Linked DNA regions of Saccharomyces cerevisiae S288C. The gene in region 1 interacts genetically with each later gene. Each region holds a gene or a part of one and is shown in the gene's direction. Other genes may lie near its edges. The genes, in order: HXT16, ATG26, YAT1 and ARO3.

The links.
Region 2: mutations in HXT16 (region 1) and ATG26 together harm fitness more than expected from each alone (negative genetic interaction), as found in Saccharomyces cerevisiae (one large-scale study listed by BioGRID).
Region 3: mutations in HXT16 (region 1) and YAT1 together harm fitness less than expected from each alone (positive genetic interaction), as found in Saccharomyces cerevisiae (one large-scale study listed by BioGRID).
Region 4: mutations in HXT16 (region 1) and ARO3 together harm fitness less than expected from each alone (positive genetic interaction), as found in Saccharomyces cerevisiae (one large-scale study listed by BioGRID).

The regions. Positions count from the first base shown.
Region 1 is NC_001142.9:730,526-735,166, forward strand, and holds HXT16 (hexose transporter HXT16), read left to right. Parts: upstream 1-1,914; coding exon 1,915-3,618; downstream 3,619-4,641. UniProt on the Saccharomyces cerevisiae protein: Probable glucose transporter.
Region 2 is NC_001144.5:530,035-536,476, reverse strand, and holds ATG26 (sterol 3-beta-glucosyltransferase), read left to right. Parts: upstream 1-2,083; coding exon 2,084-5,680; downstream 5,681-6,442. Other genes in the region: MMR1 (Mmr1p), read right to left, coding at 1-1,263; ATP-binding cassette permease MDL1, read right to left, coding at 6,090-6,442.
Region 3 is NC_001133.9:187,778-192,756, forward strand, and holds YAT1 (carnitine O-acetyltransferase YAT1), read left to right. Parts: upstream 1-2,415; coding exon 2,416-4,479; downstream 4,480-4,979. Other genes in the region: DUP240 family protein MST28, read left to right, coding at 330-1,034; YAR035C-A (uncharacterized protein), read right to left, coding at 4,560-4,640; oxysterol-binding protein related protein SWH1, read left to right, coding at 4,842-4,979. UniProt on the Saccharomyces cerevisiae protein: Involved in the transfer of acetyl-CoA into mitochondria. May also be involved in the metabolism of acetate and of ethanol.
Region 4 is NC_001136.10:520,000-523,778, forward strand, and holds ARO3 (3-deoxy-7-phosphoheptulonate synthase ARO3), read left to right. Parts: upstream 1-1,816; coding exon 1,817-2,929; downstream 2,930-3,779. Other genes in the region: YDR034C-A (uncharacterized protein), read right to left, coding at 517-693; cysteine-rich palmitoylated domain-containing protein CPP3, read left to right, coding at 1,315-1,470; mitochondrial 37S ribosomal protein mS47 EHD3, read right to left, coding at 3,212-3,779. UniProt on the Saccharomyces cerevisiae protein: Stereospecific condensation of phosphoenolpyruvate (PEP) and D-erythrose-4-phosphate (E4P) giving rise to 3-deoxy-D-arabino-heptulosonate-7-phosphate (DAHP).

The DNA.
Region 1 (4,641 bases):
CATTCAATGTATATCTTATCACACCAGTTTATCCAAAGATAGATGCAGTTTTGAAATTGGTTACTTAGAATATTTCTACTACATTTCGATAACAAATATAACTATTTTGAATTTAAAAGTTGAGTATCCAAAAATTTTAGAAATACATACAATTACTTCCCAATTACTTCCCAAATATTCTCCCCCCTGGTTTGATATCATAAAAGCACCTTATGGCAACAAGATTCCCGGGATAGTAATGCTATTTAAATGTATATCTATTTCTCGAATACTTGTATCTTTACTCCACTACCCCTATGCAAGAAGATACGCGATAGTTTTTGTTCCTTCCTCTTCCTACTCTGTTAATTAACTGAAAATTATTTATATTGAAAAGGTACTTGTAGCAAATTAGACAAGGAATTCTCCTGGTATAAAGTTAGAGAAACAGAAATATGAAACGGCCACCCCAGGTATGAAATATTATCTTAAGAAGAGCCATGAACACACATGAATAGATTCTTGAGACATGCTTAGGGTAACAAAGACTGTAACGCCTTGTTGCAATACTGCTTTATTCAAATTTTTAAATTGTACGGAATTGTGGTAAGGAGAATGTGCAAATAACTTAGCATGAAACGGTGCTATAGTTGAATCATTGTATGAGGTAACATCACTTCAACGAAAAGAAGAATAAAATTGACCTGCACATGGAGAAAGCGTAATATATAAAAAATGTTTACAATTTTGGCGCACTATATGGGAGAACAGCTGCTGGATAATATTATGCCCTTACTTCATTTCACCATATCCGTTTACAGTTCAAATCTCGCCGTCGAGCCATAAATTCTCAAAATTCCTTTGCAAATATTTTGCTTACCTGTAACCGGCAGCTTACATTCTTCCGTCATAATTTCTCAGACGGATGACATAAACCATTTTTTCAGAATCCTCGATAACATAATCGATCAAAACAGTAATAAACATTCTCTTGCACAAAATGGACTTTGGCAGCAAATCCTGAAATATTGTGGAGTATTGCCAGAGGTAAAAGCAACGTTGAACAAATTATGACACTAGACCTCTTAGGCATAAAGATGACATCATCTAGGTACTCGTAAAGATCCTAACCACAGATTCCACCTTAAAAGACGACAATAGTAACTTTGTCCTTGATCTGGGTTACTAAATCAGCGATATGATCATTAAAGTGAATATCCCCTTCTTAAAATGTACCAAATATCTTATACGTTTGCAGTTTTTCTTTTCCTTTTTCTTTATTTCTTTGGTAAGGACTAGGTAATTATTTCCGTATTTGGCTCCTTTGGCGCTTAAAAAATCTTGTACGCAAATTTCCACAAGATATTGCGTGACAATTACTATTACTGAAGTTGAACTTGTTTCATGTCTCCGCCTGTGTTAACTCCGTTTTGCTTAACTCCGTCTCGTATTACAGTAAATTCATGATGTGCCTATGAATATGCAGCTAGCCTGCTGCAGGCAAAATTATTTTTAGCTTTGTGCGCTACAGTGGTAGTAACTTAAAACTTAAAAGCTAAAATGCAAAAACAGTAGAGTGCGGGGTATGCTTTTCTTTTGAACGTGCACTGCGCAGAGGCACAATTTAGCAAAGAAGTCAGGCAAGGTAGATGATGTAAACAAACGAGGACTTGTACTGCGCATCTTGAACCTTTCAATATCATAAGTGCAATCAGCTAAAGGTTTGATTTTCCGAATGCTCTGCAAAAAAGTTAAACATGGTTATATAACTCAAGTATGATAACTCCAGTGTTGGCCTGTAATCACCAACTTTCAAACGTATAAAGAAAGTAAGTAATTCATTGTTTGCTTCAGGTTTAGTCTTATTACTATCCATAGAAGTAAAACTATTGATATTATTGACAGAAAAGGAGGAAAGGAAACTAAAGGAAAAAAATGGCAAGCGAACAGTCCTCACCAGAAATTAATGCAGATAATCTAAACAGTAGTGCAGCTGACGTTCATGTACAGCCACCCGGAGAGAAAGAATGGTCAGACGGGTTTTATGACAAAGAAGTCATTAATGGAAATACGCCAGACGCACCGAAGAGAGGCTTTTTAGGTTACCTTATTATCTACTTACTATGCTATCCTGTATCCTTTGGCGGTTTTTTACCTGGTTGGGATAGTGGTATTACTGCAGGCTTCATCAATATGGATAACTTTAAAATGAATTTTGGTTCTTACAAGCACAGTACTGGTGAGTATTATTTGAGCAACGTGCGTATGGGTCTTCTCGTGGCCATGTTCAGTGTAGGATGTTCCATTGGCGGTGTTGCTTTTGCGAGACTTGCTGATACTTTAGGTAGAAGGCTAGCAATTGTAATCGTGGTTTTGGTATATATGGTTGGTGCAATTATTCAGATCAGTTCGAATCACAAATGGTACCAATACTTTGTCGGTAAGATCATCTACGGTCTTGGTGCTGGTGGCTGTTCGGTGTTGTGTCCAATGCTTTTATCTGAAATAGCCCCCACAGATTTGAGAGGTGGACTTGTCTCATTGTACCAACTTAACATGACCTTCGGTATTTTCTTGGGTTATTGTAGCGTTTATGGAACAAGGAAGTATAGTAATACTGCGCAATGGAGGATTCCTGTGGGACTATGCTTTCTGTGGGCTCTAATTATCATCGTTGGCATGTTATTAGTTCCAGAGTCCCCAAGATATCTGATTGAATGTGAGAGACATGAAGAGGCCTGTGTCTCCATCGCCAAGATCGACAAGGTTTCACCAGAGGATCCATGGGTACTCAAACAGGCTGATGAAATCAACGCCGGTGTCCTTGCCCAAAGAGAACTAGGGGAAGCCTCATGGAAAGAACTTTTCTCCGTCAAAACAAAAGTCCTTCAACGTTTGATCACAGGTATTCTTGTGCAAACCTTTTTGCAACTTACTGGTGAAAACTACTTCTTCTTCTACGGAACTACCATTTTCAAATCAGTTGGGCTTACTGATGGGTTTGAGACTTCGATCGTCCTAGGTACAGTGAATTTCTTCTCCACTATTATTGCTGTTATGGTCGTAGACAAAATAGGCCGTCGTAAATGTCTGTTATTCGGAGCGGCTTCAATGATGGCTTGTATGGTCATATTTGCAAGTATCGGGGTAAAATGTCTTTACCCTCATGGCCAGGATGGTCCATCCTCGAAAGGTGCAGGTAATGCCATGATTGTGTTCACATGCTTCTATATATTCTGCTTTGCAACGACATGGGCCCCTGTTGCTTATATTGTGGTTGCCGAGTCATTCCCTTCGAAGGTCAAATCTAAAGCAATGTCAATTTCGACTGCATTCAACTGGTTATGGCAATTCTTGATTGGTTTTTTCACACCATTCATTACTGGGTCTATCCACTTCTATTATGGTTATGTGTTCGTAGGTTGTTTGGTTGCTATGTTTTTGTACGTTTTCTTCTTTTTACCAGAAACAATTGGTCTATCTTTGGAGGAAACCCAGTTACTATATGAAGAAGGTATAAAACCATGGAAATCTGCATCTTGGGTACCACCCTCAAGGAGAGGAGCTTCTTCCAGGGAAACTGAGGCTAAGAAGAAAAGCTGGAAAGAAGTTTTGAAGTTCCCAAAGAGTTTTAATTGATCAATATGCGCGCTTGATAAACATGCTAAGAGATAAATTCTTGAAAAAAAATAGGGCCTACTGTAAAACGAAGTGACACGTAATTTCAAATTTAATCAACAAAAAACTACGAGTTTCTTTGCAAACTCCCTTTTTCGGACTACTAGTACTATATAAAATAACGAGTTATTTAGTGAAAGAAAGCGTTTGGTTAAGGCAACATTGTACGAAGTTCTGTTTCTTTAAGGCAAAGCAGAGTATAAAAAGTAGGATGCTTATGGAGTGAAAACGGAGTGGTGATGAAGATGGGGAAGTCAACATAGGTCCACTTGAGTGCTTATGGAAGATCCTTAAAAATGCATTTCCAGGAACGTAACACTGTACCATTCCTCTAAATAAAGTGTATACAATAATATAGAAATATAGATTCTTCCCAAATATTCAGTTGTTACTATAAAGGGAATATTTGAGCTCGTTATTAGCGTGGCCGCACAAACAACCATCATATTAGAAGAGATAACTTTGTTTCAACTCGGGGGGGCAAACTTTCTCATGCTTCGTTAACTTGGCAAATACAACAAGCATACTTTTTGCGGTGAAAACATTTTGAGGCATGTTTCCACACAACATAATAGCGAATGGAGTAAGATTTTTTTTGTAGTACAGTAAAAAGACCTCATATAGGTACCCGTACAAAGTCTCTGACCTCTCTGGGTGACCTGGGTCATTAGTAGTTCAAGGAGCATCTGCCACTAAAAGATTTGTGACCTAACTGTGGTAGTAACCGTTAAAGACACGGTATTGAAACAATGGGTTCAAAACAGTCGAGGGTTTTAGCATTTAAGTCGGCATATGTCCATTTCTATCCTTTTTCCAAGTCTATTGAGTTTCTTTATCTTTTTACTTATTTCCTTTTTGAAAGGTCTTACGACAAAGTTCAAAGCTTGATGAATTGTCTATTACTTTATTTGCTAAATTGAAACTCTGGATGAGTACCAATTCTTCTTTTCATTTTGCGATAATTGACATTATGATTTTTCAACT
Region 2 (6,442 bases), on another chromosome or scaffold:
AATTTTCTTTAGGTCTAAAACAGAAACGCGTGCCAGTCTAGTCTTAGGGCATGGGATTCTTGCTGAATTTCCTTCAGTTTTTGAAGTGGAGGTGGCCACTACTGCGGAGGATTCAGTCAATTTCTTAAGAACTTTTTTACAATTGAAGAATTTTTTCTCCAGTTGCTTGACTTTTCTCTCAATATCTCTTTGGGATCTTTGAGCCTGTATACTAGGATCCTTCATAACCTCAAGCATAAATCTTTCTTCAATGTATCTGTTCGTCGTCATGGAATGCACTAATTTTTCATTCTGCAACTTTAATTCTGTAATTTCAAGTTCTAGCTGCTTGATCTTTATGTCTAAATTCGATTTTTCACGACTATTTGCCTCCTCTGCATTGGCCATAGAGGCCATTTGCATTGAAATATGTTGTTGTCCGTCACACCATTCGGGCTCATAGTCCGTCGACGTAGACGAGATAAAGCTATATCTGTTGTTGTTGTTATTGCCTTTGAGACCATATTGAACGAACCCGTTATTATCCGTAGGTAAATTGTCTAGATTCAGATCCTTAGGCAATTCGTTCACTTCGGTGCTTAGACACTGAGTGGAGCCGCCGGAGACGACTCTAAGTCCTTTGTCCTCGACCTTTCGCACCCCATGATTTTCTGGATCTTCCAAAGGAGTAGCAGGAACAGGAACGTATGAGGGGAGCAACCCTTCGGCGTTTTTCCGTAATATCGGTTCTTCCGCACAGACTTTGGCCTCAAATGAAGGGGGATTGCGTTCTTTCTTTTGTACTTGCGCAACGGATTCTGAACTGCGCAGCTGCTCTAGTTTGTCCTTGATGCTTTGTTTAATGATGTTTTTCTCTATGTTCAATGGATCAGGGTTTGAATTCTGGCCTTCACTAGTAGTTTTCTTGCTATTCTTCAATAGGGCAGATAGCAATGGCAGATTACTGGTTGTTTGAGATAGGTACTCGGGTTTTAACATCTTTGGAGTGTTGTTCAAAAACTGAAACCTAATAGGCGATACAGACCTCATAGTGTCAGAGCCCCTTCTTTGTTTAGAACGTCCACCTCTTGATAACTCGCTCAATTTAGAGAGTGATGTTGGATATAACAAGGAATTACCAATCGGGCCAGTGTCTAATTTTAGCTTCGTAGGTGAGTTCAATAGATTTTGAAAAGAGCCTGCATTTCTTTGGTCATCCAAACAAAAGGACATTGGTGAGAGTTTTGGAGTAAGTTGTTCCGATTTCATTGTTGGAGAATTCATTTTTTTAGTTGTTTAGTTTATTAGTTGTGTTTTTTTTTTTTGATTTTGCAATGAGTACTGGCTTGTAACAAGTTAAAAGAAAAGAAGATTAGTTAAGAACAACGGAATTGAAACGAAAGTAAAATAGTTGGAACCGAGGATAACTATGTTGATTTAAAAGACTTCACACGCGATTCTTTTTCCTTACTGCTATTTAGGAAGATGTGCCCCTCCAAACCTTTCCTTTATTCCCAAGGCAATCAAAATAACAGAAAATACAGCAGTAATAAAGCTTAATTCTCTAGGCTCACTTAAACTGAGCAACAATTTGTTGATCGTACGTGTTATTTAATACTATCAGGAAAAAATAATCTAAATGTGAGAAAAACTTCTATCTGTAACCACTTTGTCTTGAATGAACGTAGAAAATTTAAAAACGATCAAGCTTGCGTGAGAGAACTTGTAAAGTAAGGAAATCTGATTTCTAAACCCATAATGATTCTTCATCGAGCTTTCTTGCCAATTGGCTAATTAGAACTCTTTTTAGTTTATTTCCCGAAAGGGGTATTTATATTTTGCCCGTTTGGGACAAAATTAACCCTGCTTACACCAGGGTTTATCTAGAAATAAAATAGGTCATTGTTTTGAGATGACTTGGAAAAACTTAACCCTGATGTGACTGTAACATAACATCTAAGAAAAAAGGGACTAAAAGTCAACAGAAGGAGTAGATCGGAAAGTCATTGCATTTATCACTGATAAAGTCATGGCTGTCAAAAAGTAAACATCAGAAGTTCAGTTGCACTTTATGCTTTGGTGAAAATCCGTATAACTTAAAAGAATGCCCATCACTCAAATCATATCAGCGTCTGATAGCGAGGCGGGGCCAAAACCAAGCATTTCGTTGGTACCTGATAAGCCATCTGAGCCAGAAACTTCCCCTAGGCATCATCGCCTTTCAAGGTCACTTTCGAAGTTCAAGCGCTGGAGAGGAAGATCAAATAGCAGTTTATCGATGGGGTCGTCTGAGCAGCAAGAACTGCAGGACAGTCCAAATGAAGCCCGTAGTGATGATGACGAAAACGGTTACAATAACGATAATGCAGATGACTTGGCGAAATCCAAGTATATGATGAAAAGTATTGCCGGTTTATTAACTACTGCTAGTGTGTATGCAGGGATGAATAATGCTCAAGAAATGAATGTGTTGTCGCAAGTTGATTCTGAAGAATCTGATTCCAGTGATAGTTTCCAGGAAAACATTGGTCGAAATGAGGTAAAAAGCAAAAAGGAAAATCTCAAAACTAAATCGCATCCGGAAGTACCAAGATTAGACAAAAGAAAGCCAACTTTATTCGACTTCTCAATAACTAGGGAAAAACTGTCAAAAGACAATGTGGCTAAGTTGAGACAGCGGTTTTGTTTAGACGAACAGGAACCATTTTTGAATGATTTCCCTGCATGGCTACTTAAAGATGTGTTGGTTCAAGGCCATATTTTTATTACAACAAAACATTTCCTATTCTTTGCATATTTACCTAAGAATCCTCGGTCGGTTAAAATGTCTGGAAACCTTAATATCAGGACAAAACTAATTAGGTCTACCAGGTATTGGTGCGTACTAAAGAATCATTTATTTTCTATGTATACCTCATCAACTGAGCTATACTTTCCGGTTTTAACCATAGATTTGAGGGAGGTCCAAAAAATTGAAACACAAAAACATACCTTAAACGGGAGTGCTACGAAAACATTTAAGCTTTACACAGATGAAAGTACATTCAAATTCAATGCAGATTCAGAGTTCTCCGCTAAATCGTGGGTGAACGCTTTGAAAAAGGAGCAGTTCGCAGCTCAGAATTCTGAAAACAATTCGATAAGTTTAAAAATTCCGCTGCCCAACATTATAGAGATAGATGATCAACCTATAGTCAACAAAGCTTTAACATTGAGATTAAGAGCTTTGGAGAGCTCACAGACCTATGCTATCGATGATTTCATGTTTGTTTTCATGGATGGGTCCGGTAGTCAGGTCAAAGAGAGCCTTGGCGAACAGTTGGCTATATTGCAGAAATCCGGTGTTAATACACTTTATTATGATATTCCAGCCAAGAAATCAAAATCAAGTTTTGGAAAAGAGACACCAGCTACAGTTGAGCAAAAGAATAACGGCGAGGATTCAAAATATTTGAATGTTCCAACTTCGGCTGTGCCTTCTTCGGAAAATGGGAAAAAGAGTCGATTCAGATTTAGAGAAAGAAGCAATAGTTGGTTTCGTAGAGCTAAACCTCTTGAAGATTCTCAAGTTGAGGATGTGGAGGAAATATATAAAGATGCGGCGAATGATATAGACTCTTCTGTGCATTCCACGATTCATATTCATGAACAAGAAGATAGTCAAGAGCAAACCGTAGCTTGGAAGCCAAGTCACCTCAAAAATTTTGCCGAAATGTGGGCTGCCAAACCAATACACTACCGGAACAAGTTTATCCCGTTTCAAAAGGATGATACCTATTTGATTAAAGAAACAGAAGAGGTTTCTGCTAACGAGCGGTTCAGGTACCATTTCAAGTTTAATAAAGAGAAGTCACTAATCAGTACTTACTACACATACCTGAATAGAAATGTTCCCGTTTATGGTAAGATTTACGTATCCAATGATACGGTGTGCTTCAGATCGTTATTACCAGGGTCTAATACATACATGGTTTTGCCATTGGTTGATGTGGAGACATGCTATAAAGAAAAGGGATTTCGATTTGGTTATTTTGTATTGGTTATAGTAATTCACGGTCACGAGGAGCTATTTTTTGAATTTAGCACTGAGGTCGCCAGGGATGATATTGAACGCATTCTTTTAAAGCTCTTAGATAACATATATGCAAGCAGTGCAGAAGGATCGAATATATCGAGTGCTTCTCTTGGCGATGTTCAGCATAACCCTGACTCAGCGAAGTTGAAGCTTTTCGAAGATAAAATTAATGCCGAGGGCTTTGAGGTACCGTTAATGATTGATGAGAATCCGCACTATAAAACAAGCATAAAACCAAACAAGAGTTATAAGTTTGGATTATTGACGATTGGCTCAAGAGGGGATGTTCAACCATATATTGCACTTGGAAAGGGCTTGATAAAAGAAGGTCACCAAGTGGTAATAATTACACATTCGGAATTTAGAGACTTTGTTGAAAGTCATGGAATCCAGTTTGAAGAGATTGCTGGTAACCCAGTGGAGTTGATGTCCTTGATGGTGGAAAATGAATCAATGAATGTTAAAATGCTGAGAGAAGCTTCGAGCAAATTTAGGGGATGGATCGATGCTCTTTTACAGACATCTTGGGAGGTTTGTAACAGAAGAAAATTTGATATTCTGATTGAATCACCCTCAGCTATGGTTGGTATTCATATTACTGAAGCATTGCAAATTCCTTATTTTCGAGCATTTACCATGCCATGGACAAGAACAAGAGCATATCCACATGCATTTATTGTACCAGATCAAAAAAGGGGCGGTAACTATAACTACCTGACACATGTCCTTTTCGAAAACGTTTTCTGGAAGGGAATTAGTGGGCAAGTAAACAAGTGGAGAGTTGAAACTCTAGGTTTAGGGAAAACAAATCTTTTTCTTTTACAGCAGAATAATGTTCCTTTCTTATACAATGTTTCTCCTACAATTTTTCCGCCATCAATTGATTTTAGCGAGTGGGTGAGAGTTACAGGATATTGGTTTCTTGATGATAAGAGTACTTTCAAACCGCCAGCAGAATTACAAGAATTTATTTCTGAGGCAAGATCAAAAGGAAAAAAATTGGTTTATATCGGGTTTGGTTCGATTGTAGTCTCTAATGCCAAAGAAATGACGGAAGCTCTTGTCGAAGCAGTTATGGAAGCAGATGTATACTGCATTTTAAATAAGGGATGGTCAGAAAGGTTGGGCGATAAGGCGGCAAAGAAGACAGAGGTAGATCTTCCAAGAAACATTTTAAATATCGGAAACGTTCCCCATGATTGGTTGTTCCCACAAGTCGATGCTGCCGTTCACCATGGTGGTTCTGGAACTACTGGAGCTTCATTACGTGCTGGTTTACCTACTGTTATAAAACCTTTCTTTGGTGATCAGTTCTTTTATGCAGGTAGAGTAGAAGACATTGGAGTTGGTATTGCTTTAAAGAAACTTAACGCTCAAACATTAGCAGATGCTTTAAAAGTAGCTACGACGAACAAAATAATGAAGGATAGAGCTGGATTAATAAAGAAGAAAATTTCCAAAGAAGATGGGATTAAAACTGCAATAAGTGCAATTTACAACGAACTTGAGTATGCAAGAAGCGTTACTTTATCAAGAGTGAAAACTCCGCGCAAGAAAGAGGAAAATGTAGATGCAACCAAACTGACACCTGCTGAAACAACGGATGAAGGGTGGACGATGATTTAAACCGAGTATCACTCTCACTTTTATAAAAAAGCGTAACATCTAATCATTAATAGTAATAAATAATTAATTTTTTTTTTGTAAGTTTCAGTCATATTTGTACTCAGGAAAGATATGAAAACGATAATGTTGATAATAAGAATAATAGTAACAATAATAAAAAAGTAAAAAAATAAAGCTTAATTTGAGTTTCCTAAACGTACCGTATGTTGTGCATCTAATATTAATTTAATGTGTATAAAGGCGTACAAGGAGCTTTAAAAAAAAACTGTTTGTGTAAATTACATTGGGCATCATTTAAATTATAGAATACACAATTTCATATTCAGCAAACATAATGCGATAATTAATTGTCTTCCAACACATACCATAACTGTGGCATAGAAAAGTGATTCCATACTGCGGCAACTTCTTATACTTCCCGGGCAACACTATTGTCCAAATCTATCACTCCCCCTTTTCCTTCCTCGTCCTGCTGTTCGGCAAGCAGCGCATTTAGTTCACTATTAGGAATGGCGATTAGATCTCGGAATGAACCGGTTTCAACCACTGAGCCATGTTTTCCTAACACAATCACCCTAGTACTGTGTTTGATCGTCGAAAGCCTATGTGCAATTGATATAGTAGTGAACCCCCTTTCCACACGTCTCTGAAGATTTTTGGCAACTATTTCTTCACTTTGAGAGTCAAGGGCACTGGTTGCTTCATCTAAAATAAGGACGGCAGGATCTAGTAAAAACGCTCTAGCTAATGCAATTCTTTGCT
Region 3 (4,979 bases), on another chromosome or scaffold:
TTTGACGCTAGCATGTGTCCAATTCAGTGTCATTTATGATTTTTTGTAGTAGGATATAAATATATACAGCGCTCCAAATAGTGCGGTTGCCCCAAAAACACCACGGAACCTCATCTGTTCTCGTACTTTGTTGTGACAAAGTAGCTCACTGCCTTATTATCACATTTTCATTATGCAACGCTTCGGAAAATACGATGTTGAAAATGCCTCTAGAGATGAAAAACAATCGTAAAAGGGTCCTGCGTAATTGAAACATTTGATCAGTATGCAGTGGCACAGAAACAACCAGGAATACTATAGTCATAGGCAATACAAGGTATATATTGGCTATGCAGACCCCTCCAGAAAGTACCGACGTCAAGTTAGATACACTTAACGAACCTAGTGCACATTTAATTGAGAAAAATGTGGCTCTTCCTAAGGACATATTCCGTTCGTACTTGAGTTATTGGATCTATGAAATCGCTCGCTATACACCAGTCATGATTTTGTCCCTGGTAATAGGGGTTTTGGTTTTATTAATTATATTTTTTAATGACAACGAAGCTTGTGTTTTCAATTCTGCAATATTTGCTTTTACTTCTCTTGTAGGTTTGTTAATAATATTAAGTGATGGTAATCCAAAGCTAGTCAGTCGTCGAAATTTTAGGACCGAGCTTTTAGTGGATGTCATCACACGTAAACCGGCGGTAGAAGGGAAAGAATGGAGGATCATCACATACAACATGAACCAATATTTGTTTAATCATGGGCAATGGCATACTCCGTATTACTTTTACAGCGATGAGGATTGCTACCGTTATTTTCTACGCCTTGTTGAGGGAGTAACCCCCAAGAAGCAAACAGCCACGTCAATTGGCAATTCTCCGGTCACCGCTAAGCCTGAAGATGCCATCGAGTCAGCTTCTCCTAGTTCCAGACTGAATTATCAAAACTTTTTGCTCAAGGCAGCGGAGATCGAACGACAAGCTCAGGAAAATTACTGGCGAAGGCGGCATCCCAATATCGATGCGCTTCTTAAAAAGACGGAATAGCTTAGAGACACTACCATACGTAAAGCGAACATAAACTAGAGTATGATATATAATCAGCACTAACTGGCCGGAAAACGGCCGAAGGAAGCCTCGAAAAGTCGATTCGTGTTGGACCCATTTGCTGAACAAAGTGGTTCATTGCCTACCTATTATGGTAGTAGTCGTGATAATCGTGTGGTTGGTTTTGTCAACGGTGCATTTGCATTTTCATGACAATAAACCTTGCGTTTTCGTTCTCGGGATATTACTTTCCCTCCACTTCTTTCGCCTCAATAGCTCCTATAAGCATTCTCAGGGCGTATGTCGGTGATCGAGATTTCCAAGCAAGCTTTTAGTGGAAATCATCGCGCGCAAGCCAGCGGTAAAGGGAAAAGAACGGAGGACGATTACATACAAGATGAACGAATAAATAAATTAATAATAAATAATAATAAAAAGTACAGTAGCATTAAATATTATTAAGTTTAATGATTAAAAATTGGTTAATTGTCAAGAAAATCTAAGGTATTAATAAATAAATAATACTATGACAACTTGCAGCGAAAGCATCAGCCCCAATGAAAATTAATCAGAATTGAATCTGAGCGTATTTATTTGATAACGGTTTACGTAACTGTTGGAATAAAAATCAACTATCATCTACTAACTAGTGTTTACGTTACTAGTATATTATCATATACGGTGTTAGAAGATGACGCAAATGATGAGAAATAGTCATCGTTTTCAACGGAAGCTGAAATACAAGGATTGATAATGTAATAGGATCAATGAATATCAACATATAAAACGATGATAATAATATTTATAGAATTGTGTAGAATTGCAGATTCCCTTTTATGGATTCCTAAATCCTCGAGAAGAACTTCTAGTATATCTACGTACCTAATATTATTGCCTTATTAAAAATGGAATCCCAACAATTATCTCAAAATTCCCCCAATTCTCATCAGTAACACCCCACCCCGTATTACTTTTACCGTGATGAAGATTGGCATCGTTACTTTCTAAACGTAGGACGTGCGGAATGACAAAACCATCAGCAGTGTCACGATCTCTCCAGTCACAATGGCAATCATGAGTGCATAGTCCAAAGTAAAGGGGCAAGGAAAAGCATGATTGAAAGGACTCCCCATCTGGACTCTATATGTCATCAGCGGCTAAAAAAAAGCATATAGCACAACATCAGCATCAGCATCAGCACTAGAGTCATCGGCCCGGCGGTCCGCGGTCATCCCCGCGGACTTTCCGTCCGCCCGGCGGGCTGTATCAGCGTCAACTGGAACGCGCATATATATACAAGACACACATAACATAGAAGCACACCCACGACAATAACCACACGACAATAACCACACCCGCCCACCCCTCCTTTCCGTATACAATGCCAAACTTAAAGAGACTACCCATCCCGCCACTGCAGGACACGCTCAACCGCTACCTGGCACGCGTGGAACCCCTGCAGGACGAGCGCCAAAACCGCCGTACGCGCCGCACTGTGCTCTCCGCAGAAAACCTGGACGCATTGAACACGCTGCACGAGCGGCTGCTAGAATACGACGCACGGCTCGCGGAAAGCAACCCAGAGTCCTCATACATCGAGCAGTTCTGGTATGACGCGTACTTGCTATATGATGCAACTGTCGTTCTCAACGTCAACCCGTACTTCCAACTGCAGGACGACCCAACCATCAAAGACACACCAGAGACGGCGGCACAGGGCCCCTATGGCGCACACACGGTGCAGGTTCGTCGTGCCGCACGACTCACCACCTCTATTCTCAAGTTCATCCGCCAGATTCGCCACGGCACACTCCGCACAGACACTGTGCGCGGCAAAACGCCGCTGTCGATGGACCAGTATGAGCGGCTATTCGGCTCCAGTAGAATCCCTCCGGGTCCCGGCGAGCCCTCTTGCCACTTGCAAACAGACGCCACGTCGCATCACGTGGTGGCGATGTATCGTGGCCAGTTCTACTGGTTCGACGTGCTGGACACACGCAACGAGCCCATCTTCGCCACCCCAGAACAACTGGAGTGGAACCTCTACTCGATCATCATGGACGCGGAATCCGCCGGAAGCGGATCCGCGCCCTTTGGCGTGTTCACCACAGAGTCGCGCCGGGTGTGGTCCAACATCAGGGACTATCTGTTCCATGCGGACGACTGCACCAACTGGCGCAATCTCAAGCTGATCGACTCCGCGCTGTTCGTGGTCTGTCTCGACGACGTGGCGTTTGCCGCCGATCAGCAGGACGAGCTCACGCGTTCGATGCTGTGCGGGACTTCTACCATCAATCTCGACCCGCACCAACACCAGCCGCCATTGAACGTGCAGACAGGCACCTGTCTCAACCGCTGGTACGACAAGTTACAACTGATCGTGACCAAGAACGGTAAGGCGGGCATCAACTTCGAACACACCGGTGTGGACGGCCACACTGTGCTGCGGCTCGCCACAGACATCTACACAGACTCGATCCTGAGCTTCGCACGCGGTGTCACCAAGAACGTCGTCGACATCTTTAGCGACGACGATGGAAAACCATCGTCGTCGTCGTTGGCCTCGGCGGCTCACTCCGCCAACTTGATCACCATCCCTCGTAAACTGGAATGGCGCACTGACAATTTCCTGCAATCGTCGCTGCACTTTGCCGAGACGCGCATCTCGGACTTGATCTCGCAATACGAGTTTGTTAATCTTGACTTCTCCAACTACGGCGCGTCCCATATCAAGACAGTGTTCAAGTGCTCGCCAGACGCCTTCGTGCAGCAGGTGTTCCAGGTCGCATACTTCGCGTTGTACGGTCGCTTCGAGACCGTGTACGAGCCTGCCATGACCAAGGCGTTCCAAAACGGCCGCACAGAGGCCATCCGCTCCGTCACGGGCCAATCGAAGCTCTTTGTCAAGTCACTACTGGACCAGGATGCCTCGGACGCCACCAAAATTCAGCTCTTGCACGACGCCTGTACGGCGCACTCGCAAATCACAAGGGAATGCTCCCAGGGGCTCGGCCAGGACCGTCACTTGTATGCGCTCTACTGCCTCTGGAACCAATGGTACAAGGACAAGTTGGAGCTCCCACCCATCTTCCGCGACAAGTCCTGGACTACCATGCAGAACAACGTCTTGAGCACCTCCAACTGCGGTAACCCCTGCCTCAAGAGCTTCGGGTTCGGGCCTGTCACCGCCAACGGCTTCGGCATCGGCTACATCATCAGAGACCACTCCGTCTCTGTGGTGGTGTCCTCAAGGCATCGCCAGACTGCTCGGTTTGCGTCGCTCATGGAAAAGTCGCTGCTGGAGATCGACCGCATCTTCAAACGGCAGCAAGCTCGCGCAGCAAAACCCGCTGCCAGGACCACTGCTAGCGCCAACACCAAATCAGAAGACATGAAATACCTGTTGTCCGGCTACGATTACTTCGACGTGAGCGTGTCCGGTTGAGTTTATGCTGAGTTTTTGCGCATCAATATTATTTTTACTACTACTACTACTACTACTACTACTACATACTATTAAATATACTAAATAAGAGGAAAACGCTTTGGAAGTGACTGGCGCCGCCGCTGGCTACTATAATAGCAGCGACTGTAATTTAATCTCATCCCGTCGTTTGGATTACCTCTTTTACTCGCCGAGCGAACGTGCACCAAAAAGGGAAAGGAAAAAAAGAAAAAAAAAGGAAAAAGGAAACTCAAAACTTGGATAAATAGAAGCACTCAAACTAAATTAAACTGCCAAAAAAAAAAAAAATAAAAAGGGAAAAGTTTAAACATCAAAGTACACCTTTCACCCCTCCACACACCATGGAACAACCTGATCTATCGTCTGTGGCCATCAGTAAGCCGCTGCTGAAGTTGAAACTTCTCGACGCCCTTCGCCAGGGAAGTTTCCCCAACCTACAAGATCTCCTAAAGAAACAATTCCAGCCGCTAGACGACCCA
Region 4 (3,779 bases), on another chromosome or scaffold:
AAAAGAAGAGAGGAGACAATCATAATATTATACGAACTCATGGCTTTCCTTATGGGAAATTCTACATTCTCGATAGTGACCCTGGTATATTCAATATACTTAGGAATAACTGTCTTTCATAACAATGGCGGCCATACGATTACCGTATTATCCACCTATTCTTGATATTAAACTGGAAATTCTGTGAATTTTGTGATAATTGTTGGAATTCCATTGTTAATAAAGGCTATAATATTAGGTATACAGGGTTTACTAGAAGTTCTCATCGAGGATTTAGGAATCCTCAAAATGGAATCTATATTTCTACATGCTAATGTTACGATTATTCCTCATTTCGTTTTATATGTTTCATTATCCTATTACATTATCAATCCTTGCATTTCAGCTTCCTCTAACTTCGAAGCTTTCCATAACTTCTGTCATCATCTAATACCGTATATGATAATATATTGATAGTATGACCACTAGTTGATACACTGTTGGAATAAAAACCAACTATCATCTACTAACTAGTATTTATGTTACTAGTATATTATCATATACGGTGTTAGAAGATGACACAAATGATGAGAAATAGTCATCTAAATTAGTGGAAACTGAAACGCAAGGATTGATAATGTAATAGGATAATGAAACATATAAAACTGAATGAGGAATGATCGTAATATTAGCATGTAGAAATATAGATTCCATTATGGGGATTCCTATATCCTGGAGGAGAACTTCTAGTATATCTACATACCTAATATTATTGCCTTATTAAAAATGGAATCCCAACAATTACATCAGAATCCGCACAATTATCATAGATGATAATGGATTTTTATTCCAACAATCAGCATGCCTTTTGTATTTCTGTAAAGAAGAGTAAACCATAACCTAAGTCAATATCAAATTTAGGATTGATGAATTTTCTACTCAAAATGCTTTGTTCAAGAAGGTACGAAAGAAGGTTCCAATCGTCCATTTTAGGGTCCTATAGTGTAGTGGTTATCACTTTCGGTTTTGATCCGGACAACCCCGGTTCGAATCCGGGTAGGACCTTTTCTATTTTTTAACCCTCTTGTTTTATTTTTCTTTCTTGGCTTTGAATTGCACAGCCCCTCGCATTTTTTTTCGATACCCTGAAAAAAGGAAAAAGGCGAAGAAATAAGGGCAATTTCTATTTAAAAATTATACAAGCTCGATTTTTCATTTTCTCCTTCCCCTCTCGCCCCTCCCAGTTTTCAACTGTATTTAAATGTTTCTCAGTTATGTTGTGAATTAAAATAATCCTAATTGTCAACTAAAAAAGTCTAAGTTAGCAATACCAAAATGAGGCATCATCAAAATATGCATTATGCCCCACAACAACAACCAGTCTATGTCCAACAGCCTCCTCCTCGGAGAGAATCCGGTGGTTGCTGTAGAACCTGTTGTCACTTCCTATGTTGTCTATGTTTAATTAACCTATGTTGTGACGTTTTTTAATTCTAATCGACAGCTAAAAATTAGTATGGAAAGAACATCATATTTAGCCGCTGAAAAAAAAGAAGCAGCTGCGTATCTTCTCAAATTTATGCGTACATAGTGACATATATTTAAAAGCTTCCTCACTTTCCTTTTTTATATTTTTTCATTGCTCAAGTATTAGTCACATCGGAAAGTATGCTTGCTGCATTAAATACATGCATGTGTTTATAAGTGTTTGCATTTTCTCTCTCTTCTTTTTTTTCTTCCTGTTACTTGTATACGAACGACATATTTATTTTCACTATTTCTCATTTATATTTATAGCTACTACCCCTATTACGTTACAAGAACACTTTATAGCATTATGTTCATTAAAAACGATCACGCCGGTGACAGGAAACGCTTGGAAGACTGGAGAATCAAAGGTTATGATCCATTAACCCCTCCAGATCTGCTTCAACATGAATTTCCAATTTCAGCCAAAGGTGAGGAAAACATTATCAAGGCAAGAGACTCCGTCTGTGATATTTTGAATGGTAAAGATGATCGTTTAGTTATCGTGATCGGGCCATGTTCCCTACATGACCCCAAAGCCGCTTACGATTACGCTGACAGATTGGCTAAAATTTCAGAAAAGTTGTCAAAAGACTTATTGATTATTATGAGAGCGTATTTAGAAAAACCAAGGACTACTGTTGGCTGGAAAGGGTTGATTAACGACCCTGATATGAATAACTCTTTTCAAATCAATAAAGGTCTACGGATTTCGAGAGAAATGTTCATAAAACTGGTTGAAAAATTACCCATTGCTGGTGAGATGTTGGATACCATTTCTCCGCAGTTTTTGAGTGATTGTTTCTCCTTGGGTGCCATCGGCGCCAGAACTACTGAATCCCAACTGCACAGAGAATTAGCATCCGGTCTATCTTTCCCTATTGGATTTAAGAACGGTACTGATGGTGGTTTGCAAGTCGCCATCGACGCTATGAGAGCCGCTGCACATGAACATTACTTCCTTTCTGTCACAAAGCCAGGTGTCACTGCTATCGTGGGCACTGAAGGTAACAAGGATACCTTCCTGATCTTGAGAGGTGGTAAGAACGGTACTAACTTTGACAAAGAAAGTGTTCAAAATACTAAGAAACAGTTAGAAAAGGCCGGTTTGACTGATGATTCCCAGAAAAGAATTATGATCGATTGTTCCCACGGCAACAGTAATAAAGATTTCAAGAACCAACCAAAGGTTGCCAAATGTATTTATGACCAGCTGACGGAGGGTGAGAATAGTCTCTGTGGTGTTATGATTGAGTCCAACATAAATGAAGGTAGACAAGATATTCCCAAAGAAGGTGGCAGAGAGGGATTGAAGTATGGTTGTTCTGTTACGGATGCTTGTATTGGCTGGGAGTCCACCGAACAGGTATTGGAGCTATTGGCAGAAGGTGTTAGAAACAGAAGAAAGGCCTTGAAAAAATAGCCTGTAAATGAGGGAAAAATGCAAATAATCTTGAATGATACTCAAAACTTTTGATTTATTGTAATTTCTTTCTGAACCATATTTATTACATTCAAACTTTTTTTTTTTTGCCTTTTATAAAAAAAAATACTTATAAGAAAAGAGAAAGAAAATGACAGTTTTCTATGTATCATTAAATAAACATCCATATACAAATATAGCGTTATGTTTTACTTTTATTATTTACATGCATAGAAGTGTTGGCAAAATTCTTTACGAGCCACGGGGCTGCTATTTCAGGTTTTATTTCCATCTTAAGCCATCGTTAACTTCTTCACATTTTCTTTCACAAACAATTTTACATAGCGATTGGATACCCAGTTTCCCTCTTCTAGAAGGAATCACATTGGCAAAGTGATTTAGTACTTCTCTTTCGGTAACTTTGGCGCCAGTGTCATCATTCGTTCTCTTTTCAATATACGCAGCGATTTCCTGTTCTGTAGGCAATTGGTATTTAGAATGGTAGGGATATTGAGTCCAAGTAACATTCGAGGTATTTCTTAGTAATGACATTGGTAGCGATGGTTTAGGAGATGTGATAGATGTCAACTGAGATACAAATAACTGTTCCTTCTTTGTCCATGGATACGGGACCCTTTGTTTATCAATAAGTTTATGCTTTGTGGCTTCAGAGAATTCCACCAAAGAGTCCTGGTTCATGCACATGTTAGCTGCTGTGTATAAGTCTCTTTTGATAGCAGATTCTATGTGATCTCTGGAATTCTCTTGCACCAATCTCAAGGCGATTTGAAGAGAGGATGGTGACTTGGTTAACAATTTCGTTTTGATTTCTTGTGCGAAAGCCTTACCT